5 linked regions of the Callithrix jacchus genome follow. The protein of the gene in region 2 purifies or fractionates together with the protein of the main gene of each other region. This does not show direct contact. Links are inferred from orthologs where the notes say so. Each region holds a gene or a part of one and is shown on either strand. Other genes may lie near its edges.

What was found.
Region 1: the proteins of SAP18 (region 2) and EIF4A3 fractionate together in Homo sapiens (co-fractionation; 3 studies listed by BioGRID and IntAct, with this or other methods). This does not show direct contact. The link is inferred for Callithrix jacchus from reciprocal best matches to the Homo sapiens genes SAP18 and EIF4A3.
Region 3: the proteins of SAP18 (region 2) and CHD4 purify together in Homo sapiens (affinity purification with mass spectrometry; 3 studies listed by BioGRID, with this or other methods). This does not show direct contact. The link is inferred for Callithrix jacchus from reciprocal best matches to the Homo sapiens genes SAP18 and CHD4.
Region 4: the proteins of SAP18 (region 2) and SSRP1 fractionate together in Homo sapiens (co-fractionation; 3 studies listed by BioGRID and IntAct, with this or other methods). This does not show direct contact. The link is inferred for Callithrix jacchus from reciprocal best matches to the Homo sapiens genes SAP18 and SSRP1.
Region 5: the proteins of SAP18 (region 2) and SRSF1 purify together in Homo sapiens (co-immunoprecipitation; 4 studies listed by BioGRID and IntAct, with this or other methods). This does not show direct contact. The link is inferred for Callithrix jacchus from reciprocal best matches to the Homo sapiens genes SAP18 and SRSF1.

Annotation. Positions count from the first base shown.
Region 1 is NC_133506.1:135,889,288-135,895,502, reverse strand, and holds the start of EIF4A3 (eukaryotic initiation factor 4A-III), read left to right. Parts: upstream 1-2,234; 5' UTR 2,235-2,319; coding exon 2,320-2,488; intron 2,489-5,218; coding exon 5,219-5,291; intron 5,292-6,215. UniProt on the Homo sapiens protein: ATP-dependent RNA helicase. Involved in pre-mRNA splicing as component of the spliceosome. Core component of the splicing-dependent multiprotein exon junction complex (EJC) deposited at splice junctions on mRNAs.
Region 2 is NC_133506.1:140,822,326-140,828,639, forward strand, and holds the start of SAP18 (histone deacetylase complex subunit SAP18), read left to right. Parts: upstream 1-2,063; 5' UTR 2,064-2,075; coding exon 2,076-2,204; intron 2,205-2,404; coding exon 2,405-2,514; intron 2,515-6,314. UniProt on the Homo sapiens protein: Component of the SIN3-repressing complex. Enhances the ability of SIN3-HDAC1-mediated transcriptional repression. When tethered to the promoter, it can direct the formation of a repressive complex to core histone proteins.
Region 3 is NC_133510.1:20,793,346-20,799,394, reverse strand, and holds the start of CHD4 (chromodomain-helicase-DNA-binding protein 4), read left to right. Parts: upstream 1-1,751; 5' UTR 1,752-1,862; exon of another isoform or gene 1,863-2,624; intron 2,625-2,713; 5' UTR 2,714-2,791; coding exon 2,792-2,891; intron 2,892-6,049. UniProt on the Homo sapiens protein: ATP-dependent chromatin-remodeling factor that binds and distorts nucleosomal DNA. Acts as a component of the histone deacetylase NuRD complex which participates in the remodeling of chromatin.
Region 4 is NC_133511.1:114,900,342-114,905,949, reverse strand, and holds part of SSRP1 (FACT complex subunit SSRP1), read left to right. Parts: intron 1-505; coding exon 506-611; intron 612-899; coding exon 900-1,090; intron 1,091-1,193; coding exon 1,194-1,424; intron 1,425-1,563; coding exon 1,564-1,667; intron 1,668-1,770; coding exon 1,771-1,899; intron 1,900-2,158; coding exon 2,159-2,380; intron 2,381-3,092; coding exon 3,093-3,165; intron 3,166-3,585; coding exon 3,586-3,724; intron 3,725-3,874; coding exon 3,875-3,920; intron 3,921-5,005; exon of another isoform or gene 5,006-5,109; intron 5,110-5,535; coding exon 5,536-5,608. UniProt on the Homo sapiens protein: Component of the FACT complex, a general chromatin factor that acts to reorganize nucleosomes. The FACT complex is involved in multiple processes that require DNA as a template such as mRNA elongation, DNA replication and DNA repair.
Region 5 is NC_133506.1:108,328,006-108,334,370, forward strand, and holds the start of SRSF1 (serine/arginine-rich splicing factor 1), read left to right. Parts: upstream 1-2,755; 5' UTR 2,756-2,878; coding exon 2,879-3,072; exon of another isoform or gene 3,073-3,488; coding exon 3,489-3,673; exon of another isoform or gene 3,674-4,038; coding exon 4,039-4,211; exon of another isoform or gene 4,212-4,411; coding exon 4,412-4,598; exon of another isoform or gene 4,599-4,971; coding exon 4,972-4,994; coding exon of another isoform or gene 4,995-5,010; 3' UTR 5,011-6,365. UniProt on the Homo sapiens protein: Plays a role in preventing exon skipping, ensuring the accuracy of splicing and regulating alternative splicing.

The sequences.
Region 1 (6,215 bases), about 4.9 Mb from region 2:
GGCCAGGGTCTAGGGTCCTCAGTAAGGCTTCTGAATAAAACTAAGTTTAATTCTTTAAAAGCTTGTCTTTCTTTAGTCAACAAGGTTTTACATTCTCTTATACTAAATCATTGAAATCTGTGTGTATTTTACAACAAAGCCAGTTTGAGGGCACTGAACGATCCTTTGTGGAGTGAGGAAGATATGAGAACTTACATTTTATTCAGCTTTATAACTATTTAATATTTAGAGTAATACCAGCATCCTTACTAGGCACATTTATCAGGAGGTCAATTATCTGGCATAGACAAATTCTGGTGCCAGCGTGAGATTCACTCTTGGAGAAGGCTGCATTTACTTGTTCATCCTTGAAATACTGCAACCCACTGATTTCTTCATAAAAGGACGCTCTGGTTTTAATTAAAATTAACCTTCATAAAAGGAGAGCTTTCAAGCACTCCTGGAAAGAAGCCATGGGTTAAAGATGTGCCCAGCGATGCAAGCCAGGTTTCTGACCATAAGAAAGGGCAGAGCTGGGCACCATGGCTCATGACTGTAACCCCAGCACTTTGGGAGGCCGAGGCAGGCGCAGTATGTGGTCAGGAGTTCAAGACCAACCTGACCAACATAGTGAAATCCTGTCCCTACAAAAAATACAAAAATTAGCTAGGCGTGGTGGCACATCCCTGTAATCCCAGCTACTCAGGAGGCTGAGGCAGAAGAATCACTTGAACCTGAGAGGTGAAGGTTGCAGTGAGCCGAGATGGCACCACTGTATTCCAGCCTGGGCGACTGAGTGAGACTCCGTCTCGAAAAGAAAAGAAGAAGGAAAAGAAAAGAAAGGATAGCGCTGGCACTCGCGGATATACAATTTCCCCAAAGTTAGAAACATGATTCTCAACACAACATGAACTGCCCTTCAAAGACGGTGGAGCTGCTTCAAAAAGGCATGAGAGGAGGTTGGTATGTAGACGCACTTAAAGAAGTGTCAGATAAGAAAGCGGGTTAGGGGCTGCGCACAGCAGTGGCACCTGTGGTTCCAGGTACTCTGGAAGCTGAGGTGGGAGGATCGCCTGCGCTCGGGAGATGGAGGTTGCAGTGAGCCGAGATCGTACCATGGCACTCCAGCCTGGGCGACAGAGTCAGACCCTGTCTCAAAACAAACGAACAAAAAGCAGGTTAAAATGCCTAACCGGTTAACGTTCTGCTGGGCAATAAAAAAACCACCCCTTCTGGGTTATCTCTACTGCAGGACACACATTATTGGCACCTTATACACAGACCCGAGGCCTTCATTAAGAGTAAATTGGAGGCTCAGCTTGTATTTTACTTTGTAACAGCTGCTTGCTGCGCGCAGTGGCTCACGCCTGTAATCCCAGCCCTTTCGGAGGCCAAGGCGGGCGGTATCACCTGAGCCCCAGGAGTTCAAGCCCAACCTGGACAATACTGGGACAGTCCCCCGACCACCGTCTCTACAAAAAATTTTTAAGTTAGCCAGGCGTGGTGGCACTCGCCTGTAGTCCCAGCTCCTCGGGAGGCTGAGGCAGGAGAATCGCTTCAACCCGGGAGGCGGATGCTGCAGTGAGTCCTGATCCCACCACTGCACCCCAGCCTGGGCGACGGAGCATGACCCTTTCTCCAACATGCCAGGCAAACGGCGAAGACACACACAGGCGGGTCCCCCAGGAAGGACGCCGGCGTCCGGGGCCCTGGTTCTGCCCAGCGCGGACCCGCCCGAGCCCAGCGCCGCGCCAGACCCACACCGGCGGCCGTGAGGGTTTCAACCCGCATCATCCCCCCGGCGAGCTCGGCGCCTCCACTACGGGTCCGCGACGCCATCCACCCACCGCGGGCCGAGAGGGGACCCGTGCCCGTCTTTTTTGCTTGAGGCGGGGCCGTCTGAAGACGATGCCCGGAGCGGAGGCACCCTCGCGGCCCCCAGCCTGTTTCCAGGGTGTTCCGGTCCACAGGCCGCTCGAAGAACCTCAGCGCAGGGATTAGTAGAAACCCACAGCCACCACAAAACGCCACCAACCCTGAAAGTCCCGCGGCCTCCATATCTTTTATAGGGAACCGGGTGCCCCGCCCTCAGCGAGATCCCGCGGGAACTGCATATCGTGCGAGAGCAGAAACAACTTCCATTTCCCTGCGGCTTACGCCCTTTTTCCTTTCACGCCCCTCCAGAGGCGTGGCAGCGGCGCGCGCACGCACGTACGTACGTACGCACGTCTCACGCTTTCGCACGCTAAGGCGTCAGTTCCTCTTGGCGGCGGCTGCACGGGGCTTCTTCTATTGCTTTCCGCTGCTGCGCGCGCTGTGCTCTTCCGAGCACTCAGAATCATGGCGGCCACGGCCACGATGGCGACCTCTGGATCGGCGCGGAAGCGGCTGCTCAAAGAGGAAGACATGACCAAAGTGGAATTCGAGACCAGCGAGGAGGTGGACGTGACCCCCACGTTCGACACCATGGGCCTGCGGGAGGACCTACTGCGGGGCATCTACGCGTACGGTGAGCGGGCGCGGGCCGCGGGTTGGGGGCAGGACTGGCGACTCCCCGGCCGGCCCCGCGCTCCCGAGGTCGTGGTCAGGGCCGAGGCTCGGGGACCAGGGACGTGCGACTCCCGCTCCGTCCTTGTCCGCGCCCTCACACCTGGCTGTGTCGGCGCGTTCGGTGTGTGTCCACTGTGCAGAGCTCCGCGTGGGTCCGACGGGGGCTGCAGCCGCTTAGAGGCACATTAGCGTCGTTCATTGAGCACATAACTGTTTTGTACCTACCAGCTTTTCTAGGAACTGGGGTTTTGGCGGTAAACCAATTTCTGAATTTCGTTGGCGGGGACAGCATAGGGTCAGGTTGCTTAGGCAGTGGTTGTTGCTGTGAAGACCTGAAGCAGGGTAATTGAATGTAGTGGAACTGCGAAGGAGGAGAGAATTAGTAAAGCAGAGAGGTAACGGGGTTCGCAGGAGGGGGTGCCATTTGAGCTGAGGTTTGGATGAAGGAGCTATTAGGAGAAGAGGGAAGAGCATTTGGGGCAGAAGGAACAGCCGGTGCCCTCCAGGAATTGAAACAGGTGGGATTTTGTAAAGTTAGGTAGGGGCCAGATCTAACAAAGACGTGTAGGGTGACGAACAGTTTGAATTTCATTTAGAAATCCAGTGGGAAGCCACTGGAAGGTTTTAAGTAGCTACGTGACGATCAGATTTATAGTTTAAAAGATTCTTTTGGGTGTCCCGTGAATTTCAGGTGAGGTGAAGCGAGGCAGGAGAGGAAACAGGGAGACCAGTTGGGAGCTTTTCTCTAGTTCAGGGGAGAGAGGGTTGTGCTGCTTTGGAGATGGAGTGCCAGGGAGCTGACAGCATTGGCTGATGGACTGAATGTGAGTGACAGAAGGAGGAGGACTGGAGTGTTTTGAGTAACCGGTGGTTGATGCTGCAAACATTCGCCTAGGTGGGCAGCACTCCAGAGAGTCAGCATCAGGAACTTTGTCTTGATCTGTTTGAAAGGTCTGTGGACGTTTAGAACCTGGAGAAGGGGTTGGGTTGGGCACTAGATGGGAATTACCAGCATCTGAAATAAATGGTCTGTGTTTAATGCTTGGGACAGGGATATCTTTTGTTCTGTAGTTCTCTTTCTTTTCTTTCTGACGGTCTTTCTCTGTCGCCAAGGCTGGAATGTGGTGGCATGAACTTGGCTCACTGCAACTTCTGCCGCTGGGGTTCAAGTGATTCCTTAGCCTCAGTCTCTAGAGTAGCTGGGATTATAGGCATGCACAACCATGCCGAACTAAGTTTTGTATTTTTAGTAGGGACGGGTTTTGCTGTGTTGCCCAGGCTGGTCTTGAACTCCTGACCTCAGTGATCCACCAGCCTCAGCCTCCCAAAGTGCTGGGATTACAGGTGTGAGCCACCCCACCTGGCCTTATCCTGTAGTTCTTGATGCCACAACAGTTTGGACAAAGTGAAGCAAAGTTGCAGAGATGGGTGGTGAGAAGGTATTGTAGCCAAGCCTCACAGTGAGGCTGAGAGCCCCCACCTGGTTTCCTGGCACTCAGGCGATCCCTGCCCTAAGGCACTGTTGTTAGATTCCCATCTATATGCTGCTGTTTGTGAAGAGTTTAAATCATCTGCTATATTTGCTTTTGTGTTAAGATGGGAAATTGTGCTACTTTTTCTTTTCTTATTTTTTGCTATGCCCCAGAACTGAGCAAAGCTACATTTAAAAGGCTACCAAAAAATAATTGAAATAAGAGTTTTTGTACATAACGTTTTATTTACTTGAAAAACATGTAGTCCTTCAAAATAGCCTCACCCCTCTGTGTGGTAGTTGCTTTGCAGGAGAGATGGTGGTATACTGAGTGAGCTGCGTCCAGACAGGAGAACAGCTTAGGACACCCCGCAGTGTGACCCAAGCAGATTAAGAAGAGTGTAGGCCTGTCAGCCACACACAGACTTAATGCTAGCTAGGAGGAGAGAACAGTGGCTACAGTGACTTTCCTGGTCTTTTTTTTTTTTTTCTTAAAAAGTAGTGTAGGTTGTTTGTAATAGAGTCAAACCTAGAGAAGTAATTAGAGTAAAGTAAGCTTCTTCCCACTTCTCTGCTGCAGTACTGCCGGGAACATTTTGGCACTTAAACTTCCAGATGCTGCGCACCCAAAAGATTTAAAAAACAACAAAACAGAACTGGGGTCTCTGTATACTACACCTTGGTGGTGCTGTTTAAATAGAGATTTGTCTTTACAAATGACATCCCATGTTAGTGTAGAAATCCTCTCAGCCCAGTTCATTGAGCCTCTGGGGCTTCAGAGCTTGCTATGTTGAACATTGGGTTAGGCTGGAGGGCGGGTTCAAAAAGCAAACCATGTCTGCCCCTGACAAGCTCACAGTACAGGGTTTCTTTTTTTTTTTTTGAGACGGAGTTTCGCTGTTGTTACCCATACTGGAGTGCAATGGCACAGTCTCGGCTCACCGTAACCTCCGCCTTCTGGGTTCAAGCAATTCTCCTGCCTTAGCCTCTTGAGTAGCTGGGACTACAGGCGCGCACCACCATGCCCAGCTAATTTTTGTACTTTTTGTAGAGACGGGGTTTCACGTTGTTGACCAGTATGGTCTCGATCTCTTGACCTCGTGATCCACCCGCCTTGGCCTCCCAAAGTGCTGGGATTATAGGCGTGAGCCTCCTCGCCCGGCCAGTATAGGGTTTCTATGCTGTCATTGTGAGAGCTAATTTTCTGTTTTATTTCAGGTTTTGAAAAACCATCAGCGATCCAGCAACGAGCAATTAAGCAGATAATCAAAGGGAGAGACGTCATCGCACAGTAAGTCGTCCTGCTGTCAGCACAGGCTGGATGCAAGTCGGGGCAGTACAGTTAGATGCTCTGGGATGACCGTTTTCCTCAGTTTCTACACGTTCAGTACCAACGCTTTCCCTGACTTTAGCCACAGGGTTTAATAATTTTTAAATTTGTGTTCTCTACTCTAGAAGGCTTTCATTTTTTTTTTTTTTGGAGACGGAGTCTAGCTCTGTTACCGGGGCTAGAGTGATCTCGGCTCACTGCAGCCTCCGCCTTCCAGGTTCAAGTGATTCTCCTGCCTCACCCTCCCCGAGTAGCTGGGATTACAGGCGCCTGCCACCATGCCCGGCTTAGTTTTGCATTTTTAGTAGAGACAGGGTTTCAGCCTCTTGGTCAGGCTGGTCTTAAACTCCTGACCTCAGGTGATCTACATGTCTTGGCCTCCTAAAGTGCAGGGATTACAGGTGTGAGCCACTGTGCCCAGCCGAAGGCTTTCATTTTCTTAGCCAGCTTTGCTTAGTGGTTTTTGGTGTGTGGAATTGTATGTAACACAATTTCGGAAAAACAGACTGTGCTTTGCTTCTGCTCTCACACCACCACCACAGTCATCAGCACAGAAGAAGACTTCTGTGACCAGAGGTGTGGGGGTTTTCCAGCTGGGTGTCCTTCAGGTCAACTCTCATACCATCTGCCTGGAGGTGGGCCATGTCCCACAGGTCAAGGGCTCAGTCTCACAACTGCCCTCTTTTCAGATCTCAGTCGCAAGTCTGGACGTCTAGAACTTGTGACCAACCAGCTTCAAGTTGAGGTTCCCACGGCCCCCTCTTTAGGTTGGATTGATTTGCTGGAGCAGCAGCTCAAAGAACGCAAACACATTTAGTGGCTTATTATTCAGGGTACTGCAAAGGATACAGATGTGGGGAAGGGGTGCAGCCTCCAAGAGGCGGG
Region 2 (6,314 bases):
AACTCTGTCTCAAAAAAAAAAAAAAAATGTTCAGAGGTCATTACTACTGAGACTTTTCTGGTAATTTTTGTCACGTAGGAATTCTCCTGAACAATATATTTTAGTATTGCCTGCTTCTGAGTGTTATGAAAATGAATTCACCCAGTATATACATTTTTGTCTTTGGTTTCTTATATTTACCATCTTGTTTGTGAGATTTAGATTGTTTCATATGACTGTAGTTTGTAAATTTGTGTTGCTTTTTAGTATCCCATTGTTGATTGGTAGTTGTGTTGCTGTATAGTACACCACAATTCACTGAACTATCCTACTGTGAATGGACACTTGGGCTGTTTCCAGCTTTTTGTTCTCATGAACAATATTGCTAAGAACATTCTTGTAATGTCTCTGGATAGAGTTGAGCAAGATTTTCTCTAGGGTAGGTACTACTTTCCAAAGCAGGTGTTCCAGTTTACATTCTCAACAGCAGTATGTGAGAATTCCTAGTGGTCTACAAATACTTGTTACTGTCAGAGTTCCTAGTTTTTATTTGAGACAGAGTTTCCCTCTTGTTGCCCAGGCTGGAGTACAATGGCGTGATCTTGGCTCACTGCAGCCCCTGCCTCCTGGGTTCAAGCAATTCTCCTACCTCAGACTCCCAAGTAGCTGAGATCACAGGCTTGCGACACCACGAGGGGGCCAATTTTGTATTTTCAGTAGCGACGAGGCTTAACCATGTTGGTTAGGCTGGTCTGGAACTTCTGACTTAAGTGATCCACCTGTCTTGGGCTCCCAAAGCGCTGGGATTATTGGGATGAGCCACCATGCCCCGCTGTGTTTTTCTTTTTTTGGAGATGGAGTCTCACTCTGTCGCTCAGGCTGCTAGAGTACATTGGAACGATCTTCGCTCACTACCGCCTTTGCCTCCTGGGTTCAAGCAATTCTACTGCCTCAGCCTTCCAAGTAGCTGGGATTACCAGCAACTGCCACCACATTGGGCTAAATTTTTTTTTAAGTAGAGACAGAGTCTCATCGTGTTGGCCAAGCTGGTCTCAAACTGCTGACCTCAAGTCAGGAGTCAGGAGGTCAAGTGATCCGCCTGCCTCGACTTCCCAAAATGCTGGGATTACAGGTGTGAGCTCCCACGCCCTGCTAAAGTTCCTAAGTTTTGCCAATCTAGTGGACGTGGTTTAATCCAATCAATTGAAACTAATGTGCTTGCGCACCTTACATGTTTACTGAATATGGATTTTGTCATTTCCAAAGCAACTATTCAGTAATTTTATCAACTTTTCTATTGGGTTGTCTTTTTAGTTTCTATATATTCTGGATAGCAGCCTTTGTCAATCATATGTGTAACAAATTTCTCCCACTCTGTTGCCTTTTCCTCTTATGATGTATTGTGGCTTTTCCCACTTTTCAGTCGTAAGATAATTCACTTGTAAGTTCAGTCACATACTTAGCATTTTTGGTTCATCATGGAGTTGTTATGTATTTTCAAGGTTAGGTTTTTTTTTTTTTTGGTAGTAATCCAGTCAAATCAATCGCTTCTCGTTAATTCTTTTTGTATCATATATTCCCACCCATTGGTCCTGAAGATATTCCAGAACGTTATTTCCTGCAAGTTCTGGGTTTGCTATTCGCATTCAGGTCTCTGCGCCGCCCAAACTGTGTGTCGCTGTTAGGATCGCTTCATCACCACGTATGCTGGCGACGCCTCTTCCGGCTCTCCTCAGGTGCCGGGATCGCTGGCCTGTTCTTTTATCAGAAATAAGAGATCTATATTTTGTTAATAAAGGAACGTTTTGTGTCCAATAAGGTTTCGTCAATATGCGTGAAAACGCCACATTAAGCTTATTTCGTCTGTGAATACTTAAGCGAAAAAAACACCTCGCCAACAAACTGCCCGGCGACGGACTTTAGGCGCCTCCTTAGTCTCCCCGCTGTCGCCACCACCCTTTTCCTTCTGTCGCAACACGCAGGCGCGCCCGGGCTCACGCGCCGCGCACCGAAGTGCGCCTGCGCCAGGAGACGCCCCGCCCAGTGCCGGCCGAATATAAAATGTGGAGCTTCTCCTCGCGAGAGACTTCGTGTTCATGCTCGCTGCAGGGGTCGGAGGTCAGGGCGAGCGTCTCGCGGGCCGCAGGAGGAAGATGGCGGTGGAATCGCGCGTTACCCAGGAGGAAATTAAGAAGGAGCCAGAGAAGCCGATCGACCGCGAGAAGGTGAAGATCCTTTCCGCTCTGGGGTCCGGGAAGAGGTTAGGGGTGGGCCCGGCAGGGTGCAGAGATGCGGCTTGTGTGCGGGAGGAGGCGGTGTTTTTGGTCTCGGGGCGGCTCGGAGGCCGCGACACCTCGGGAAGGGAAGTGAGGTCCTCGCAGCTGGGGTCTTTAACTTCTGCTCTTCCCTTTTCTGTGTTCCTCAGACATGCCCGCTGCTGCTGCGGGTTTTCACCACCAATAACGGCCGCCACCACCGAATGGACGAGTTCTCCCGGGGAAACGTACCATCCAGCGAGTTGCAGATCTACACTTGGTGAGGGCGGGGGCGGGCTCATGGACCCGTGCCGGGAACCCGGAATATCACTTAATTGCCTTTGCCAGTGTAGTTATTCTCCTTGATTTCAATTTCATTTTTCCACTTGGGGCCTTTGGGCTCGCAAGTAAGAGGTTTCTCTTGTTAGGTGAAAGATTTGCCCGTATTGTAACGCTTTTGTGATTAATGTTGCAACTTTTGGGCGGTTAAGAATTGACAGACCCGAGATTGCTATCATTGTTACAGCTGCTAGGTACAAAAGTGATAGTCAGATAATTAAGTTGTATCCGCCCTAAAGGGACTCATAGTCAAATAAATTGCACTAGGACAACATGGTAAGAGAGAGTGATGTTGTGGAGTGGTATTTGTTATACTCGAGGAGCATTTCCACCTAATATTAAGCCTTAGGTACCAAAACACCAAAAGTGAAAAACTACCAAAACCCGAGTTATTTTCTTGTCTAAGGCTTCATGGAAAAGCTTTTGGTATGTGTTAGTGAAGACTGGTCTCCGAATGTTTCTCTCTTGGGTGTAGCTCCGTACAAACTACTGCAAGCTTGTTTTTAGCCTTGTATATAACTCCTTGGATTGACAGTATAATGGCTTTTTAGTATAAGTAAAAGGTGTGTTCTAAAAAAATGTATATATAAACATTTACATTTACTTAAATAAATATATATAACTGATCCCAAAGGGCCCAATTTATATATACATATATATGTCAGGAGGATTGCTTGAACCTGGGAAGGAAGTGGAGGTTGCAGTGAGCCGAGATTGTGCCACTGCACTCCAAATGTGTTCTCAAAAAAAACATATATATATGTGGTAAACATATGTGTGTATATATATATTTTTGAGACAGGGTCTCACTCTGTTGCCCAGGCTGGAGTGCAGTGGCCTGATCTCAGCTCACTGCAACCTCCATTTCCTGGGTTCAAGTGATTCTTGTGCCTCAGCCTCTCAAGTAGCTGGGATTACAGACACCCATCATCATGCCTGGCTAATTTTTGTATTTTTAGTAGAGATGGGGTTTCACCGTATTGGCCAAGGTGGTCTGAAATTCTTGACCTCAGGTGATCCACCCACCTTGGTCTCCCAGAGTGCTGGGGTTACAGGCTTGAGCTACCATGCCCAGCCTAAAATATATTTTTTATTGTGATAAAAACGTAGATAACAAGCCAGGCACGGTGGCTCACGCCTGTAATCTTGGCACTTTGGGAGGCTGAGGTGGGCAGATCACGTGGGTCAAGGAGTTCAAGACCAGCATGGTGAAACTCTGTCTCTTATTAAAAATGCAAAAATTAGCCAGGTGTGGTGGTACAGGCTTGTAATCCCAGCTACTTGGGAGACTGAGGCAGGAGGATTGTTTGAACCCAGAAAGTGAAGGTTGCAGTGAGCCAAGATTGTGCCACTGCACTCCAGCCTGGGCAACAGAGCAAGACTGCATCTCAGCAAGTATGTATGTATGCATATATTACAAAATTTGCCATGTTAACCTTTTTTTTTTTTTTTTTTTTTAACTTTTTGAATCTCACTCTTGACCAGGCTGGAGCGCAGTGGCGAGATCTCTGCTCGCTGCAACCTCCTGAGTTCAAGCGATTCTCGTGCCTCAGCCTCCTGAGTAGCTAGGATTACAGGTGCCCACCACCACACTTGGCTAATTTTTGTATTTTTAGTAGAGAAGGGGTTTCACCATGTTGGCCAGGTTGGTCTTGAACTCTTGACCTGAAGTGATGCTGCATATTTCATTTCAGTGGACTCATTGCAGTACTTGTCATTTTGTGCCTGGCTTATTTCACTTGTTTCATGGTGTTTTCAGGGTTTACTTATGTTGTAGCATCCATCAGGATTTCCTTCCTTGTTAAGGCTGAATAATATTTCATTGTATGTGTGCGTCACATATGTACTCATCTATTGATGGACACTTGGGTTGTTTCACCTTTTTTACCATTGTGATTAGTGCTGCTGTGAACATTGGCATACAAATGTGTTTGTCTCCCTGCTTTCAGTTCTTTTGAATATATACCTAGAAGTGGTTTACTGGGATGGGATGGGTGTGTGTGTGTGTAAATATATATTTTTTGCCAATCTCCAAATGGTCAGGTAACTAGAAGTTATGTTAATTTTGTTTAATTTTTGAGCACCCACCAAACTTTTTCACAGCAGCTGCACTATTTTACATTCCCAAAAAGATGTATAATTTTAAACTGTGTAAGTCCTGTACACTAGAGCTCAATTCCTTGAAGATTGGGGCCTTACTCATCTTATTTGGAGGTGCTTGTTAAAAGTTACGTAGTAGTATGATACTTGTACTTAAGCATCACTCAAGAGTAAATGCTCCAGAAAGGTTGATTTAACTTATATGGAAGAACTGTTGAATAGTGGCTTGATGAAAAAATCTCTTTTCAGAAATTAAAGTGTATGTTTCTTCCAACAAATAAGAGTTCCTATTTGCCGGGTGTTGTACTTAGCTCCTGAGGGCATAAAGTCAATAAGATACTGCTTCTCCTTGTAGTAAGTCCTTTTATCAGGGAAAGCAGATGAATAAATTAGTGTGATTTTGGGGGTTAAGATGGCAGGGTGAGATTGTTCAACAGACCTTCTACTCTGAATCAAGAAAAAAAATTACCAAAAAATCCTGTCCTAAACTACCCTGAAATTGTAACCAACCAAAGAAGGAATAAGCTTAAGTTATATCGCAAAATGGTTGCCTAAGAAAAGATTCTGAAAGACTGGATGATTGGTGTGGGGGTAACACAAAGGCCCGCCCTCACTCCTGGAAATAGTAATCAGGGAAAATTAGTTAACATATATTGGAAATTCTCAATTGGGAGAAGTAGACTGTGGGGCTAAAGTAGGCAGCCCCAAGACAAGTTACAGAAAGGGAGTGGAAGTCAGAGGAGCCCAGTAGAAGTAGGCTGTGTTCACCAAAGTTTGAGGTGCCCTACGAAGTTTAGAGAACAAGCCAAACGTGCATATCTCCTGTGTGTGGGTAGTCATTAATCAGGTCACTAACAGGGCTCAGCCAGAAAAACAGAATCCGAAGAGATGTGTTAAGAGATATATTGCGGCCGGGCATGGTGGCTCACACCTGTAATCCCAGCACTTTGGGAGCCAAGGTGGGCAGATCACAAGGTCAGGAGTTTGAGACCAGCCTGTCCAACATGGTGAAACCCCATCTCTACTAAAAATACAAAAATTAGCTGGACTTGGTGGCGGGCACCTATAATTCGAAGTACTCAGGAGGTTGAGGCAGGAGAATTGCGTGAACCCAGGATCCAGAGGTTGCAGTGAGCCGAAATCATGCCACTGTATTCCAGCCTGGGCAAGACAGCAAGACTCCATCTCAAAAAAAAAAAAAGAGAGAGAGATTTATTGCAAAGAATTGGCTTACACGATTGTGGGGGCTGTCTAGGCACTTAATTGTCAAATCTGTTGGGCAGGTTCTCAGAAAGGAAAGGCTGCTCTTAGGGCCTACCCAGAAAATAGACGACAGACCCCTGAATTTAAGGTCAACTGGTTGTAGACTTGAATCACATCTACAAAATCTCACAGCAATACCTAGATTAGTGTTTGGTTGAATATCTAGGGACTGTAGCTTCATCAAGCTGACACAAGTACTGAACCCTACCTGTGTCCTCAAGCTTCTGACTAGTGAGAAAGCAACACTCGGCACTCCAATTGTTGGTCTGGAAAGACAGTCTCTTAGAAGGTGGGAAGCTTGTGTAGGTTTTACACTGTCAGAACTGATAAAAGGTGTGAAATCCCCCAAATTCATTATGACCAAGACAATATTGAAAA
Region 3 (6,049 bases), on a different chromosome or scaffold from region 2:
TATCGTTTGCTTGGTGGTTTATGCTTTTTGAAGGGAGGCACCCGTGGTCTTCCTTGCTTCTCCATGGTGTGCAGCTCCGCCTTGTTAGGTACTCTGTCAACAAAGGTTGAATGAGCATGAGTAGTGGTGAGTAGCAGGGGGGAGGGTGGGCCTCCACTCTTGGTGTGTATAGAGTAGGATCCTCAGTTCACATAGTGATGGGATGTCCATCCGCAGGAGTGGCCTAGGGGTGTTGGTGAAAGGTCTCTTACCTGGGGTGTTGTGAGGAGGAGGGAGTGCTAGATGTTGAGAGTCTTGGGATGAGAGTTGCTAATTATTATGGGATGCTGTAGAGTGAATTTGACTTCCTGTAAATGTTTCATCTGTCAGCTTGGTATTTTGGTTGGTTGGTGTTCCTTAAAATTTAGGAGCTGGAGGTAAGCATTTGGAAAATACCTGGATTTTGGTGGGATTGGGTGAGGCCTTAGGTGGGCTCCTGGCCCCTGAGTGTCTGGAAATGATGGTATGAGGGAAGCTGGGCTCCAGACATCAGGAGGCTTTTTGCCAGGATACTGCTTTGGCCCAGAAAAGGATTAAGGTGTGTGTGCAAGTGGGGGCGGGGACAGGGAAGCGTGGGTAGCCTGCCTGGCCCTCCCTGCTCGAGGTGTTAGAATAGACTGACAGCGCCTGGAGATGGGGGTGGGAAGAATATGAATATTATGGGATGCCTGGCTTCAAGGGTATAGGGATGGTGGAGTGGAGATGAAGCATTATGGGATGTGACACTGGGTTGTGTTGGGAGTATTATGGTATGTTTGGTTGACCACGGGCGCCTTGCAATTATTATGGGATGTCAGGATGTGGGTAGGAGAGTAAAATTATTATGGGATAGCTTTCCAGTGTTAGAGGAAAAGAGATTAGATGTCTGTCCATCTGTAGGGCGACAGTAGGGCAGTTGATCATTATGGGTTATCTTTTTGATAGAGGGGTACTTATCATAGACTGTGGAACCAGGAGAGGGAAGGCTGGGGGTGTTGTGAGCCTCTAGACCCTAGCCTGCAGGGACTGAGGGCAGCCCCAGGGGGTTAGTTATTATGGGATGTCAGTATAGAAAGTGGGAGACTGATTATTACTGGATGTGTGTGGGAGGAGGCCGAGTGTCCGTTGTTGTAGTATGGGGGGGGGTGAGTTTCTGACTATTATGGGATATCAAACTGGGGGTGGATGGAGGGTGGTTATTATGGGATGTCTGTGGGGGATGGGGATGAGTATTATGGGATATAAGGCATAAGTGCCGGGAGGGCTGCTTATTATGGGATGGCCATGGGGAGGGAGGGGTGATGAATTATTATGGGATGTTAGCATTAGGGCCAAGAGTGAAGAAGTTGGCAAAGGATGGCTATTATGGGATATCTAAGAGGGTTAGTTGCAAAAGGTCTGCAATATCATCAGATGTCAGTAGCCCCTGGCATATATGTGTATGAAATGTGGGGGGGGCGGGGTGTGTGTTTTGTGTATGTGGGGGGAGTGTCCGTGTGTATTATGGGATGGCCAAGAGGTGGGCGGTTGCCCAGGTGACACGCGCGCGCGCGCTCGAAGGGGCGTGGCCAATGGTTGCCTGAGCGACGAGGGGGCGGGGGTTGCCCGGGAGACCTGGGGAGGAGGGTGGCGGTAGTGGGGGGGGGTTGGAGTTGGTTGAGGTTATTATGGGCTGTCCGTGGGGGGGCGGGGCCTGTGCGGTGGGATTTCCCGGCCGGTGTTTCAGGCCCTTTAAGAGGCGACGCCGGAGCCGGAGCCATTTTCCCCCCTTCGGCCGCGGCGAGGAGGAGTCGGAGCGGGAGTGACACCAGGCCGGACCCAGCGCAACCTGCGGCGGCTCCGGGGTGAGGAGAGCGCGGGGTTCCCAAAAAGACGCCCCTCACGGCCGGACCAGCCCGGAGGGTCATCCCGTCACCCGCCCCTTCGTCAAGCGTCCCCCGACCCGCGGACCGCCCCTTGCCCGGAGAAGCCTACCCTTCCTTTCCTGGCCCTGCAGGGCGCCCGGCCTCCTCCCAGCCCCCGCCCTAACCCTGCCAGAGTCTTGCTCCCCGCGACCCTCCGCCTCTGGCTTGGTCTCCCACAATGCCCGGCGCCCGCCCCCTCGCCCTTTGATCACTTGCCCCCCGGGACACACGTGGCCCGGCCCCCTTCCCGGTGGGACGCTCTCGTCCCCCGCGTCCCTGCCTCCGGCCCCCCGCAGTGCCAGAGCCTCCACGCCCCCTCGTCCCCGCACCTCTTGAGGAGAACCTGAGTTGTCCCAGAGGACAGCCTTTGGAGAGCTGCCCTGTCTGGGGACTGGCCCCTCCCCGGGCGCAGGGAGGCGCCCCCCCACCCCCAAGTGACCTTGTGTCCCCGAGCGCCTTGTTGCCTGCCGCCTCCCCTGGCCCGCCCCCCCCCCGCGCCGCTACCACTCGGACCCCCTCCCCCGTCACACCCCGCTCGGTCCAGCGTCTTCCCTCCCCGCGCCTGCACCAGCCTGCCCTCGGAGGCGTCGCTCCCTCGCTCCGTGGGGGCGCCTGCCGGGGAGCCGGCTTCCGGGCTGCCCCCGAGGAGTGTGGAACTAAGTTCAGCCTGAGCGGTTCGGGTGCCCTGCTAGGGTGGCTGAGGTGGGGGGCGGAAAGAGCGGGTGGGTGTGGGGGAAGGGGACAGTGCGCGTCACTGACTGTTCTCTCTTTCTCCCCCCTCCCCCGCACAGTGACTCGGGCCAGTGTAGAGGGCCCCAGGCCGCCGGCAGGAGCAGCTGGGCCAATTCCCTGGCCGGGAGCGGAAGGGGATGGCGTCGGGCCTGGGCTCCCCGTCCCCCTGCTCGGCGGGCAGTGAGGAGGAGGATATGGATGCACTTTTGAACAACAGCCTGCCCCCACCCCACCCAGGTAACATCTTCCCCAAGGGCCCTGGGTGGGAAGGAGGCATTTGGACTCTCCCGAGTGACTTCTCTGGGGAGGCAGGGCTGTGTTGCTCGGCTGTCTCTGTGCAGAGCCGAAGGTGGAGGGCATCCGAAGGGAGTGGTTCCCTTCTGCGGAGCTCTGGTGTGAGGGGGGTGGAAGCCATGTGCCTCCTGGGCACCGCGGACGGAGATGCCAGCTTGCTGCACTCTGTCTTGAGGAATGCTCTGCAGTTCCCAGTTGAGGGAGCTCTCTGGGCTGGCACGCATTACCTTGTGTGTGGGTCCTCGGAGGAATGCAGGTAGTTGGGACCCCTGGAGGCTTGTGGTAGTGGTGGTGGTGGAGGGGGACGTTGAGGATTCTGAGAAGACCAGCCGGGCATCTGTGCTAGTAGAATCTTGTGGTTGCCTCTGTGGAAAGGAAAGAGGGAGTGCTGGTTACGCTCTATCTGATTATTTTTAGCTTCTGATCAGTTACCGGTTTTCTGTGCTGTCTCAACTGTGTGAAGTTTGAATCGCGCTCCTCAGCATGATCTAGAGCGCTTTTAGCCAGGCAGATTGCTGGAATGTTTTGAGTGGGGAAGTGATGGGGGCTTGGAGAGGATGTAATAGCCTAGTGAGGAGAGGCAAAAGAAGGGAGGGCACCCCTCTTCACCTGGCTAGTGGACATAATTCTGGCTTGTTTCCTAGCAGCTTCTGCCTCTGTGAGGTAGCCCGGGGTTTAGGCTGGCAGTGTGAAGTGCCTTGTGTAGGTGTGCTAGAGGTTGCACTATCTGTGTTTTGGGGTGGCTCCGTGAACTGGCCAAACCCGTATGGTTATAACCACCCTGGCTGATTGGGGGAGCCCTTGTCTATTCTCAAATGATGATTGATCTCGCGTTCCTAAGCAGATCTCTTTCTTTTCTGTCTTTCTTCAGAGCCCCTAGCTAAGTCACCTACTTGTTTCCTTGACCTTCATTTTTTCTAGGTTCATTTTTTTTCCTACATGCCACTGCTTCATCACTTCTGCTTCTACTTTTCTTCTCATTCTGGAGCCTGCTGATTCTGTTTTTGTTTCTCATCCAGCGTTCTTCACTCTGCTCTCTTCTTAGCTCCAGTGGAAGTTGCGGTGGTCTGGGAGAGATGCTCTCAAATTTTGCACTTTTTAAGTTGGAAGTCTTTACTTCAACCTGAGGCCATTTAGGAGAGGGGTTAGTCTTGTCATGGAGTCTTCAACTGTTGGGATGAGAAACTTGGTTTCATCCTTGTGTAGGGTAGAGAGGCAGATTTCTGTGCTCTTGCCCAAGGTGAGAGCAGGGTGGTGGTGGTGGTAAGGGGACCCTGTCCTTCTAAGAGGGGCATGAGAAACTGTAGTGCTGCCTAGACATTGTGGGTTCCACATCTTGGCCTCCTATTGGCCCATTGGTCTGGGGCTGCCCTTCATGTTGACTGGGAGCTATGCAGGAGCTGTGAACTCTGTCCTGGGCTGTAGTGTGACCCACTTTTTCCACTTGCCACACCCCATTCCTGTCCCTTTCCCAAATCTTTATCTCAGTCATTTTGCTGTTTGCCGTTTCAGCATATTATTTGCCTGAGAAGTTTGGGGGCTGTATGTGCATGGAAGGATGTCCGCTTTGCCTCCATGGGTTATCTTTGTCTCTACTTCCAGCTTTTATAGGGGTGCTGAGATGTAGCTGGTGGGTGTTGGGGGTTGACTTGGGGGGATTGGTGGGGAAAAGCCCTTAAGAAAATGATTCTTTCTCGTGAAATCCAGACTGGTGTTCCATTCCCAAGGGAATGGGAGGGGCTTTCTTGTGCCTGGTCTCATTCTGGGCTGAGACTCAGGGAGGCTGATGATGCTTTGTCCAGCCTAATGTCTCAGATTCCATAGTATCTATCTAGCTCAGGAAGTGGGGAGCCAGAGACATTTTAGGGCTAATTCTGGCTGGTCAAGAGTTAAGAGCATGTCAGGGATTGAAGGAGGGATATATATAGATATAGAGATAGATATATACATTTTTGAGACGGAGTCTCACTCTGTCACCCAGGTTAGAGTGCAGTGGCTCGATCTTGGCTCACTGCAACCTCCACGTCTCAGCCTCAAGCGATTCTCCTGCCTTAGCCTCCTGAGTAGCTGGGATTATAGGCACCCACCACCATTGTCAAACTAATTTTTGTATTTTTACTAGAGACGGGGTTTCACTATGTTGGCCAGTCTGGTTTCGAACTCCTGACCTCAAATGATCCACCCGCCTCATCCTCCCAAAATGCTGGGATTACAGGCATAAGCCACTGTGCCTGGCTGGGATATTATTTTCTATTACTCTCTAGGTCCTGCGCCTTTTTGTGCAGATATTCCCATATGTTGGATAGGACTCTGGGTGGGGTTAGTGAGGAAGCTGAGCTTCAGAGACTTCTTGTGGGCCTCCATTACGCAAACTAAATCTTTTGGGTATCAGAAATTTGGGGAGGAGGTTATATGCTCTGACCACAGGTTCACTGAGCCTTTGTTAAATCTCAGCTCTGATGATTGAAAAAATAATTATGATGGAGGGAGTAATTGAGTTCCTCTCATGGTATTACTTTCATGTTTGTCTTGCTTTCCTTGGTTAGGACTTTAGAGGGGCCTCTTGTGAACTGTGTCATCCCAGAGTAGGTGGTATTTAGACCTGCGGCCAGGTAATTGGGGAGGCTTCTATGAGGGCAGTCTTTCTCCGCTACCTTTCTCAACCCCGCCCCCTCCCCTGCCACTTCCTGTCTGTCCTATGTTGGCAGCTGGGTGCCCTGGGCTGGCTTCTGCGGTCAGGAGCCATTTTCCCTCTCCTCAGTGGGTGAGGCACTCCCTTCTTCTCTCCACTCCTTTCTCTACTCCTCCCACCCCCACTTTAGGCGGGGGTGGCTTGGGAAGAGGGAGAGAGAGGAGGGAGGAAGGAGTCAGAGCTGGTGTGAATGTCTGTTACAAAGGAAGCTGCCTCCTGGCCTTCTCTTTCCCTTCTGTGCCCCTTCCCACCTTTCCTTGCCCTGGAGCTTTCAGTATTACCCCCGGCTTTGTGTGTGCTTCCAGCCAGGGGAGGAGGTGGAGCCAGATGGGAGGAGGATTGCTGGGGGTTGGCGCAGGGGGAGATGGTGACAGCTGGGCTGATTTGGGCCCCTAGGGAGAAGAGGCTG
Region 4 (5,608 bases), on a different chromosome or scaffold from region 2:
AAACCCATAACCAGGAATGTCAGATCCAGTGGCCAGAAGCAAGATCTTTGAACAATTTTTTTTTTGGTAAAGGAGTTTTGCTTTTGTTGCCCAGGCTAAGTGCAATCGTGTGATTTCAGCTCACCAAAACCTCCACCTCCCGGGCTTAAGTGATTCAGCCTCCCGAGTAGCTGGGATTACAGGTGCCCACCACCACACCCAGCTAATTTTGTGTTTTTAGTAGAGACAGGGTTTCTCCATGTTGGTCAGGCTGGTCTAGAACTCCCGACCTCAGGTGATCCACCCTCCTCAGCCTCCCAAAATGCTGGGATTACAGGCGTGAGCCACCACACCAGGCCTCAACAGTCTTTTAAACAATGTTAGGGCTGGGTTGCTTAGTAGCATGGGTTTCTCATACAGCCTATTTTGGGGCAATTTCTCAGAAATAGATCATCGCAGGACATTCAAGTCTGTGTTAAGGCCACCAAGGTTTACTGGGATTGTGCTTTCTTTCCTCCACCCACAGGAGTTTGAGAAACTCTCTGATTTCTTCAAAACTCACTATCGCCTTGAGTTAATGGAGAAGGACCTTTGTGTGAAGGGCTGGAACTGGGGGACAGTGAAATTTGGTGGTGAGTCCTGGGGAGGACTGAGGTTTGGGGAAGAAGATAGCCTGAAGGGTGTCAGCCTTTGACTTGTTCTGCTCTTTTCCCTCTGCCAGTGTCTCTGGTTTCCTATCTGTTTGCACGTTCATCATGAGTACTGATTATTGGGTACCTACAGTGTACTGGGCACTGTGCCGGGAGTTGGATTACAGTGTGAACAGACTCGCCCCGGTTTCCCATCTCTGTGGACCTCGGGTTGGTGGGAATGTTGCTTATGCAGGGGAGCCTGCGGCTTGATAAGCCCTTTCCTCACAGGGCAGCTGCTTTCCTTTGACATTGGTGACCAGCCAGTCTTCGAGATACCCCTCAGCAACGTGTCCCAGTGCACCACGGGCAAGAATGAGGTGACCCTGGAATTCCACCAGAACGATGACGCAGAGGTGTCTCTCATGGAGGTGCGCTTCTATGTCCCTCCCACCCAGGAGGATGGCGTGGACCCTGTTGAGGTGAGGCTTCCCCTGGCTGCCCTGGCAGCAGATGTTGCTGAGCAGGCGGTGGCTGGCCTGGAAGCGGGGCCTGCTGCTTGGTCACCAGTGTGTACTTTTATAGGCCTTTGCCCAGAATGTGTTGTCGAAGGCGGATGTAATCCAGGCCACGGGAGATGCCATCTGCATCTTCCGGGAGCTGCAGTGTCTGACTCCTCGCGGTCGTTACGACATTCGGATCTACCCCACCTTTCTGCACCTGCACGGCAAGACCTTTGACTACAAGATCCCCTACACCACAGTACTGCGGCTGTTTCTATTGCCCCACAAGGACCAGCGCCAGATGTTCTTTGTGGTAAGCAGAAACCCCGATGGCTGCGTAATCCTGGTTTTTTGCCTAAATGTTTAGGAGACGGATCTCACTGGTGTGCAGAATTCTGTGTTGGTTAATTGCAAATTGTTGTAGAGTGTCAGTTGGTACTCTTCCTTACTAGATCAGCCTGGATCCCCCAATCAAGCAAGGCCAAACCCGCTACCACTTCCTGATCCTCCTCTTCTCCAAGGACGAGGACATTTCGTTGACTCTGAACATGAATGAGTGAGTGTCTCCCAGGATTCTCCTCCTGCCACTGTCCAGGCAGGAGACAGGTGTACCATTAGAAGGCAGTAGTGCTGTGACCTCACCTTTGCCGTCTTTGTAGGGAAGAAGTGGAGAAGCGCTTTGAGGGTCGGCTCACCAAGAACATGTCAGGATCCCTCTATGAGATGGTCAGCCGGGTCATGAAAGCACTGGTGAACCGCAAGATCACGGTGCCAGGCAACTTCCAAGGGTGAGTGTGGGCCTGGGATCCTGGCCTGGCTGGGTATGGGAATTCCGTGTCTCCTTGGTAACCCCCCCCCGAGATGGGAGTGCAGCCTGTCAGAGCCCTGGATGGGACCTTGTGTCATGACAGGTGTCAGTGCTTCCGTCTGCACAGCTCAGTGACGTTTACTTAGTCAAGGACATGAGCACACATGTCGCCTCTGTTAGATGTGCCCTTTGTCTCTGCTGAGGTTGGCACTAACCGGGCTTCCTGCACCCTCTGTCAGGCACTCAGGGGCCCAGTGCATCACCTGTTCGTACAAGGCGAGCTCAGGACTGCTGTACCCGCTGGAGCGGGGCTTCATCTACGTCCACAAGCCACCTGTGCACATCCGCTTCGATGAGATCTCCTTTGTCAACTTTGCTCGTGGTACCACGACGACTCGTTCCTTTGACTTTGAAATTGAGACCAAGCAGGGCACTCAGTATACCTTCAGCAGCATTGAGAGGTGAGCACCGCCACCCGTCACTTCCTGGGCATCCTGGTCCTGAGTCAGCTTTGACCGGGAAGCCTGGCATGGTCTGGGGCACTCTCCAACCCTAGAGCAGGAGTTTTCTTTTGCTACATCAGGATTTGGTCTTTATCCCTGGACTGCTCAGACTTGAGAGGCCTCTCCATTGCTTTCTTTCTGGTTGTTAAAAAAAAATAGTTCCATATTCTGAAAGCTATATGACTTCACTACTGGCCTCTTTTCTCCTCCACTCCCCGCCATGATGGAAATGCTATCTCTGTCTTTCCTGGAATGAGCTTTGTGCCCGAGAACATAGCGGCTAATGCTTATTGAGTGCTCACTGTGCACTAAACGTTTTATAAGCATCTTCACGTGTAATCCTCATATCAACCTTGTAAAGAATGAAAAAAGATGCCAATATCCCATCCCCCACACTTGCTCTCCTCTGAGCTTATTTGGTAAACAGGTGTGCACCCCTCCCTGCCTTTTCTTTCCCAGGGCTCTTCAAAGCTATGCATGTTCCTCTTTCAGGACTGTCTGGCTCTGCCTTACTGCTGTCCTCTGGGGGTTTCTAAGCTGTGGGCTGGGTAGCATGGTCAAGGGCTCTAGGCTCCACAGTCTACCCCAGCTCATGGCAATCAGAACGTTGTTTAGCTCACCCCTGTGTTGGCCCTACCTGTCTGGTAACATGGTGCGTGTCCCCTCACAGGGAGGAGTATGGGAAACTGTTTGATTTTGTCAATGCGAAGAAGCTCAACATCAAAAACCGAGGATTGAAAGAGGTACTTCTGTGTGGGGAGGATGAAACCCTCTCCTGATCTTTCTGTAGGGGAGAAAGGGGTAGAGATTTTTCCGGCTTCTTTTTCACTCTCTCTTCTTTTCTTACCCTTATAGAAAAAAGAGGTGCGTGTGACCCTTTCCCCTTCCTGGTGCAGGTTTCCTCTGCATGACCTTAGACCAGTCTATGCAGCCCCTCGGGAGCCCCCAGTGGGGCTGGGAGAGGGAGGGGCTTGGGGCTTGGACTAACCCAGTTCGCAGGAAGTACTCGGGCGTAGGCCCTGCACGTTGGCTGTGTGTGGACAATCCAGCCCCAGGTCTTCTGGGAGCTGCTGCTCTGACTTGACATGGGGGTGTGCTTTTGAGTGTGCAGGGATTCGGGCTCGAGGGTGAGTCGGCCCCACTCTCAACTCTTCCCTGGCTAGGGCATGAACCCAAGCTATGATGAATATGCTGACTCTGATGAGGACCAGCATGATGCCTACTTGGAGAGGATGAAGGAGGAGGGCAAGATCCGGGAGGAGAATGCCAATGACAGCAGCGATGACTCGGGAGAAGAAACTGGTGTGTTAGCCTCTGTGCTGAGCATGGGGATGGTCAGATGCTCCTCACTGTGGCCAGGGCTGGAGTCACCCTTGGACCAGAGCTGGGTGCCTGGGTGAAGGTGGGATTTCCATTGGTTCAGAAGCTGATGCATCCTGTGTCCTTTTTCAGATGAGTCATTCAACCCAGGTGAAGAGGAGGAAGATGTGGCAGAGGAGTGAGTTTTGGTGGTACCTTGGGGGGATAAGGTGCTGACCCATAAGCTTAAAGGACCACAAAATTTCTGGACAATTCTCATGTCCCAGCATTAGCTACTGACCCAGAATGGGAGAGTGACCTCCAATGAGGTGATACATGAAAATGTTTTGGAAATTGTCCAGGGCTTTGTAAGTACAAGGCATATTTTGAAGTCAGAAAAGCATAGTGGGGTCTATGGCCATACCACCCTGCAGGTGCCAGTTGTGGCTGGTTAGTACTTGGATGAGGAGAGAATGGGAATGAGAGCTGGTGCTTGCCATTTACTTGCTGGATGTTGTCGAGTAAGTCATTGAATCTCAATTTTCTCATTGGTAGAAATGCATTGGTTCTCCTGCAAAATTGGTTAAGACTTTTTATTAGCAGTGTTAGAAATGTGACTCACTCTCGCTTTAAAAGAGAACATATAAAAGGGAATTTCATAAGTTCACGTTACTGCAGAGTGTGGGGCTTCTGACACTATTGGATTCAGGCACTCAAACCTGTTTCTTCCAATTTCCTTAATTCAAAATAGGTTTGCGCCACGGGGTGCCCAGCAACTTGCAGAAGCTGAGGGCAGGCTTAATCCTACTGCTTTAAAACAGCACCAGAAGTACCTCTTTTGGTGAACAGCGTAGTGAACAGAGTGGTTACCTGCCCCTTCCAAGTCTGAGTTATTAGGATGGACAGGGCTCTGATGCGCCAGAAATAGGCCAAGTGCCCACCCTTAGAGCCTGTGGTTGGGGTTGCCCCCACTCTGGTGGTTCCCAACAGAATATTGGGAGTCTGCTCTCTTAATCCAGAAGTATTGCAAAAGAATGTCGGGCACCAAAAAAACCCAACAGGGGTCCACTAGTTCAGCTTGCCACATGCTTATGAAAGTTTAATGAGCAAATACTTGCGAAAGTGCCTTGAAAACTGTCCAGCAGCATATTCCATTTTTGAGAAGTTTCACATATATCAAATAAGACTGTCAATTACAGGGGTCTGTACTGGGTCAAACTGAAGTTGGTTTTCCTCTTTCTGTAGTAACTGATTATTTTTTATCAGAAAAGACTGTAGGGGCCGATCCTTTCATAGTTCATAAACATGATGGCTGGGTGTTCACGTGCGTGTGTGAAGCATGCCATCCTCCAGCCTTGTTATGACCTCGGCACATTACCCATCTGACAAGAGAAAAAAAAAAAAGACTGTAGGGTAGATTAAAACGATTACTCCAAAGGAAGTGGTAAAGTGGATTTTGGCTATGTTCCAGGCAAGAATGAGGCAGTGTTTCTGCCCATGGGGTCCTGGGGATGGACATGGAACCGGTTTGGCCATGCCCAGGGAGAGCAGCAGAAGCCCACTGATTGATTTGTTTTTCATTAATTAATTCATCAAGTAAGCCATTACTGTGGTTGGGTCTGGAGAGAGCATGGTTGACGCCACCTGAGTGAATGGGAGGAAGCAGTGTTAGGGATGGGTGGTGCACGCTGTCCTCTGGCCTTCCTCTCTTGCCCCTTTTGGGTGGGTATCTTTGGATTTGTTTTCCTCCTGTCCCGAGGCCGTGGGATGCTGTCCTTCCTCCCCAAGTCTAAGCCTGGCTTGCCCTCTGGTAGGTTTGACAGCAATGCCTCTGCCAGCTCTTCCAGTAATGAGGGTGACAGTGACCGGGATGAGAAGAAGCGGAAA
Region 5 (6,365 bases), about 32 Mb from region 2:
CAGTGGCTCACACCTGTAGTTCCCTCCCTTTTGGGAGGCTAAGACAGGAGGATCACATGACTTCAGGAGTTCGAGAGCAGCCTAGGTAACATGGCAAGACGCCATCACCATAAAAAATACAAAAATCAGTCTGAAGCGGTGGTACAGGTACGTACTCTACTAAAGTTACAGGTACGTACCACCGCTTCAGACTGATTTTTGTATTTTCTGTAGTGATTTTGCATTTTTTGTAGCTGTAGTCCCAGCTACTTAGAAGATTGAGGTGGGAAGATGGCTTGGGTCCAGGAGGTTGAGGCTGAAGTGAGCTGTGATTGTACCACTGCATTCCAGCCTGAATGACAGAGCAAGTCCCTGTCTAAAAAAAAAAAAAAAATTGGCTGGGTTCAGGGGCTCATGCCTGTAATCCCACCACTTTGGGAGGCTGAGGCTGGTGGATCACTTGAGGCCAGGAGTTCGAGACCAGCCTGGCCAACATGGCAAAACCCTGTTTCTTCTAAAAATACAAAAATTAGCTGGACATGGTGGCACATGTCTGTAATTCTAACTACTTGGAAGGCTGAGGCACAAGAATGGCTTGAGCCAGGGAAGCAGAGGTTGCAGGGAGCTGAGATCACATCATTGCACTCCACCCTGGGTGACTCAAAAAAAAAATACATACATACATATATATATATATATATATATATATATATATATACACACACACACACACACACACACATATAGTTCTTTTCCCTTTTGGGATCTATGGACTCCTTTAAGAATTTGATTAAAATTTCAAATCCTCTTCCTAGAAAAAAGTACACACATGCATATATTTTTGTAGATGTACACATGCATAAAACTTTGGAAAATATTACAGAAAGTTCGACTACCGAACGTCATCTGTGCATATATTGAGGGTCCACAGACACAAGACCAAGCATTCCTGCTTATTTCAATTTGATTTTTTTTCTTTTTCTTTTTTTTGAGACGGAGTTTCACTCTGTCGCCCATGCTGGAGTACAGTGGCTCGATCCCGGCTCACGGCAACCTCTGCTCTCCGGGTTCAAGCGATTCTCCTGCCTCAGCCTCCTGAGTAGCTGGGACTACAGGCGCACGCCACCATGCCCAGCTAATTTTTATATTTTTAGTAGAGACAGGCTTTCACCATATTGGCCAGGTTGGCCTCAAAACTCCTGACCTTGTGATCTGTCGGCCTGCCTCAGCCTCCCAAACTGCTGGGATTACAAGCGCCCGCCACCACACCTGGCTTTTTATTTTTATTTATTTATTTATTTATTTTTTGAGACGGAGTTTCTCTATTGTTACCCAGGCTGGAGTGCAATGGCGCGATCTCGGCTCACTGCAACCTCTGCCTCCTGGGTTCAGGCAATTCTCCTGCCTCAGCCTCCCGAGTAGGTAGGATTACAGGCACGTGCCACCATGCCCAGCTCATTTTTTGTATTTTTTAGTAGAGACGGGGTTTCACCATGTTGACTAGGATGGTCTCGATCTCTTGACCTCGTGATCCACCCGCCTCGGCCTCCCAAAGTGCTGGGATTACAGGCGTGAGCCACCGCGATTGGTTTTCACCATGTTGGCCAAGCTGGTCTTGAACTACTGACCTCAATGTGACCCGCCCATCAAAGTGCTGGCGTGAGCTACCACGCCCAGCCTGATTTTAATTTGAATTCATTACCTTAAAAATCCCTGGATTTAACATAAAAAATCTAGATTTTAGACGTCGGAAAAAAATGTAAAATATTATCTCCCAAGACTGCAGGCAAGTAGATCACAGTCCTGAGTAGCAACCGCGGTCTCTAGTGGTTACGGTTCTCACATCCATTTCGCTCCATTTTATTACCTGAGAGGACTGGTAGTTTCAAAACCTGGTATATCAGTAACTTTTAGGGAAAACTGCACACACGCACCCCTTCTTCCTTCTCTTTATTTGAAAGGAAACAACGGAAACAAATTTGCAAATCTTTTGCGCCAGTCCCACGGATAGGCGACTAACAAGAGATACAGAGGTGTGGGTCCCAGAGGCGGTACGGTGTTTTCACCCCTTCCGGATAGCTAGTACGACCTACCCACCGCGACTAAGCACAAGGAGTGCTGAACTAAGCTATGCAAAGTTCTGACCAGAAGGTGGAACGGTACTTAGTGAAGAGGATTTATTTAGGAATCGAAATCGGTTTTGCTAAATTAGACAAATCTCATTGTCTAAGGAGCCACGCCCTGTTCGCAGGAGGAGAGGGAAGACAAACCAACGCCCCAGCTCTCCAATGGCACCTCAGCTCTGAACTAGACGCACTCTACAAGGATGCCTGGGTTTCCGGAGCAACCGCCCGGTCCCTCCCCCTTTGGCCCCGCCCCCGAGACTCCTTCCCGCCAAAGGCCGTTATCGCCGCAGAGCATGGTGGGACAAGGCTCTAGGCTAGGTTTCACCAAGTCCTTTCAAGGCGCCGAGTTGCTTTCAGAGATCCTCATTCCTGGGGAAACTGACTGTCCTTCAAGACCCGACCTGGAAGACTAGCTCCTTTAGAGAGAGTTCTTTATTTAACTTTTACCAAACGGCCACTCTATTCGCAAACCACCCCAAGCCGGGAACGCGGGGGACTTTTTTTCCCCCTTCGTGCGGAGGGTGACGTCGCGCGTGCGTGCGCGCGCGTACGTTGAACGTAGTCTTCGCAGCGCGTGCGTGTTGGGATCGAATCGCTGTTTCCTTCCGCTTCTCTTCCTCTGTCTCCCCCCCCCCCCATATCCGTGCGCCGAACTGATAAAGGCGCCATTTTGGAGGGGCCGCGGGAGACGTGGTGCCGCTGCGGGCTTGCTCTGCCGTGCGCTAGGCTTGGTGGGAAGGCCCGTTCTCGAGTCCACGTTTTTCGTCGCCGCCATGTCGGGAGGTGGTGTGATTCGTGGCCCCGCAGGGAACAACGATTGCCGCATTTACGTGGGTAACTTACCTCCAGACATCCGAACCAAGGACATTGAGGACGTGTTCTACAAATACGGCGCTATCCGCGACATCGATCTCAAGAATCGCCGCGGGGGACCGCCCTTCGCCTTCGTTGAGTTCGAGGACCCGCGGTGAGGCGGCATGGGGCTTGCAGCCTTGAGGAAATAGGTCCGAGTGGTCGGGGAAGACTCCAAGGCCTTAATATAGAGAACGGGAAGGCGGGGGCTCTTAGAGAGGATGGGGCGAGACTGTATCGCCCATGCAGGAGTCGAGTGAGGAGCTGAGTTGGTGTGGCTTCTCTGGCGCCTCGCCTTGGACGTCCCCGGAGCCCATTCGCAGGCTGGAGCGGGAAACTGAGGCGCTGAGGGCTGGTGTAGTGGCTGGGAGCCTGGCGTGTTTCTGGGTGGGGGAGGGGTCATTCCCATTATGCGGCGCATGTGGGCTCTTCCACGTTGGGTGCGCATGTGCGGGGGGTTCGCTGGTTCCCGACTGAGCGATCTTCTCCTCCTGGTCTTTCTCATGCCTTTTACTGTCTACGATCCCGCAGGGACGCGGAAGACGCGGTGTATGGTCGCGACGGCTATGATTACGATGGATATCGTCTGCGGGTGGAGTTTCCTCGAAGCGGCCGTGGAACAGGCCGAGGAGGCGGCGGGGGTGGAGGTGGCGGAGCTCCCCGAGGTCGCTATGGCCCCCCATCCAGGCGGTCTGAAAACAGAGTGGTTGTCTCTGGTAAGTCTACCGGTTGTGTGGTTGATGTGAAGGGACGGAAACTACTTAAAAATTTTCTCTTGCGTGACCGGTTTAACAATTGCAAATTTTTCATGCTAGGTCTTAAATTGCTTTAGTTTTTGGGTGAATTTAATAAACGAGGATTGCTGCTGTGGTGATTTACCAAATTAGGTTGCGGTACTAGATACGAAGATCCGTTACAAATAATTTTGGACTCTGGATTCCAGAATCTTACCAGCTCTTTACCTGGTATCACTTAAGTACAACTATTAAGTATTTTAAAGTACTCTTTGTCCTAATGTACCTTATCAGCTTAACGTGAAATTTAAGATAATTGATACTAAGAAAAAAAATCGCTTTTTCAGGACTGCCTCCAAGTGGAAGTTGGCAGGATTTAAAGGATCACATGCGTGAAGCAGGTGATGTATGTTATGCTGATGTTTACCGAGATGGCACTGGTGTCGTGGAGTTTGTACGGAAAGAAGATATGACCTATGCAGTTCGAAAACTGGATAACACTAAGTTTAGATCCCATGAGGTAGGTTATATGCTTATTCTTTTTTTTGACCAGAATTGGATACAGTGGTCTTAACAGTGGAATTTGAAGGTAAGGATTCAGGCAAGGGTGTCCAAGTAAATTGCCAGATTTCTGGTTTTAGTTACATTGTATTCATTCAGCATGCCTGAAGCTAGGTGAAAGCTTAGATCTTTCAATGGAAAGTTCTGTCTATCCAATAGGGAGAAACTGCCTACATCCGGGTTAAAGTTGATGGGCCCAGAAGTCCAAGTTATGGAAGATCTCGATCTCGAAGCCGTAGTCGTAGCAGAAGCCGTAGCAGAAGCAACAGCAGGAGTCGCAGTTACTCCCCAAGGAGAAGCAGAGGATCACCACGCTATTCTCCCCGTCATAGCAGATCTCGCTCTCGTACATAAGATGATTGGTGACACTTTTTGTAGAACCCATGTTGTATACAGTTTTCCTTTATTCAGTACAATCTTTTCATTTTTTAATTCAAACTGTTTTGTTCAGAATGGGCTAAAGTGTTGAATTGCATTCTTGTAATATCCCTTTGCTCCTAACATCTACATTCCCCTCGTGTCTTCGATAAATTGTATTTTAAGTGATGTCATAGACAGGATTGTTTAAATTTAGTTAACTCCATACTCTTCAGACTGTGATATTGTGTAAATGTCTATTTTGCCCTGATTTGTGTGAACTGGGATGTTGGGGATGTTTATGGTTATCTTACCTGGGGAAGTTCTTATGTTTATCTTGCTTTTCATGTGTCTTTCTGTAGACATATCTGAAGAGATGGATTAAGAATGCTTTGGATTAAGGATTGTGGAGCACATTTCAATCATTTTAGGATTGTCAAAAGGAGGATTGAGGAGGATCAGATCAATAATGGAGGCAATGGTATGACTCCAAGTGCTATTGTCACAGATGAAATTGGCAGTATTGACCTTATACTAAAAGGCAGGGGGGTAAAAATGATTATATACATTTTCCTTAAAACACTTGAATGTTTTATTCAGTTACCTTTAGCTACAATTGCTTTACCTTTTAAACCTTGGCAATTGTGGCAAAATTATGTTGCCCATTTTGTAGCAACTTATTTTGCTCCCTTCCCCCCATTTTTGTTATAATAGGGACTAATGTGGGAAGAACTGGCTAATTTGTCGCAGTGCTTAGTTACAACTGTTAATGTGTGACCTGCTGTTGGTGTACATGTGGGTAGAGGGTGTCTTTAAATCCAACAAGATAGAGTATAATATCAATACTGCTAAATCTGCATGTCCTCTGTGTGACTGATAGAGCGTTGCTATTTCATTTTTTTAAGACAAAATGAAAGCAAAATAATAGAGTTCCAATGTATTGGTGTAGATAATCTAGTTGGGAATACTTAGGTCTCACCTTCCCCTTTAATATTCATAATTGATTCATATGTTTAAAACACTTTAATTTACAAATTAAATTGCAAATGGGAGCATTAGATTTAGTTTTAGATTAGGTGGGTAGCAATGCCAGTAAACTTAAATTACATAACTTCTTGCAACCACGAAACCTGTAATACACTGTACAGTAACAAGTGTTGGCATTATCAGTTGAACTGTAAATATAAGATGCTTCTTCCAGTTAGTCTCTATGATGATTAAGTTTCTAAAATTTATCTGAACACCATTCAGAAACTTGTTTTGGGGAATTTGATAGTTATTGATGTGCATCTGTTAAACTGATGACTGACATAACTCATCATTCCCCAGAAACCTTTTTTGATTACAGTATCTAACGTTTTGCCTCCTCTTTTTTGGTTTTGCTGGTTATAAAGGTTTGGATTGGAGAGGGCTCACTGGATCCCAATCCTTGGAGCTGGATCATTGGATTCAAATCATAATGTGGATAGGATAGGGAGGATGAATTACCAGGATTCATGGAGCGGGATCAGATTACCAGGAACATAGGAGTGGATTCCTGCCCCAACCAAACCGCATTCGTGTGGATTTTTTTATTCAACTTAATTGGCTATTCCAAAGATTTTTTTTTTTCCTATTTTTGACGATTGGAGCCCTTAAGATGCACGATGGAATTGTGTTTTGCATTTTTTGGTAAAAGGAGCAAAGCGAGGACCTGGAGATAAACGCTGGAGCAATCTCCTTGGAAGGATTCAGCACGAGTAGATGGTAAACATTT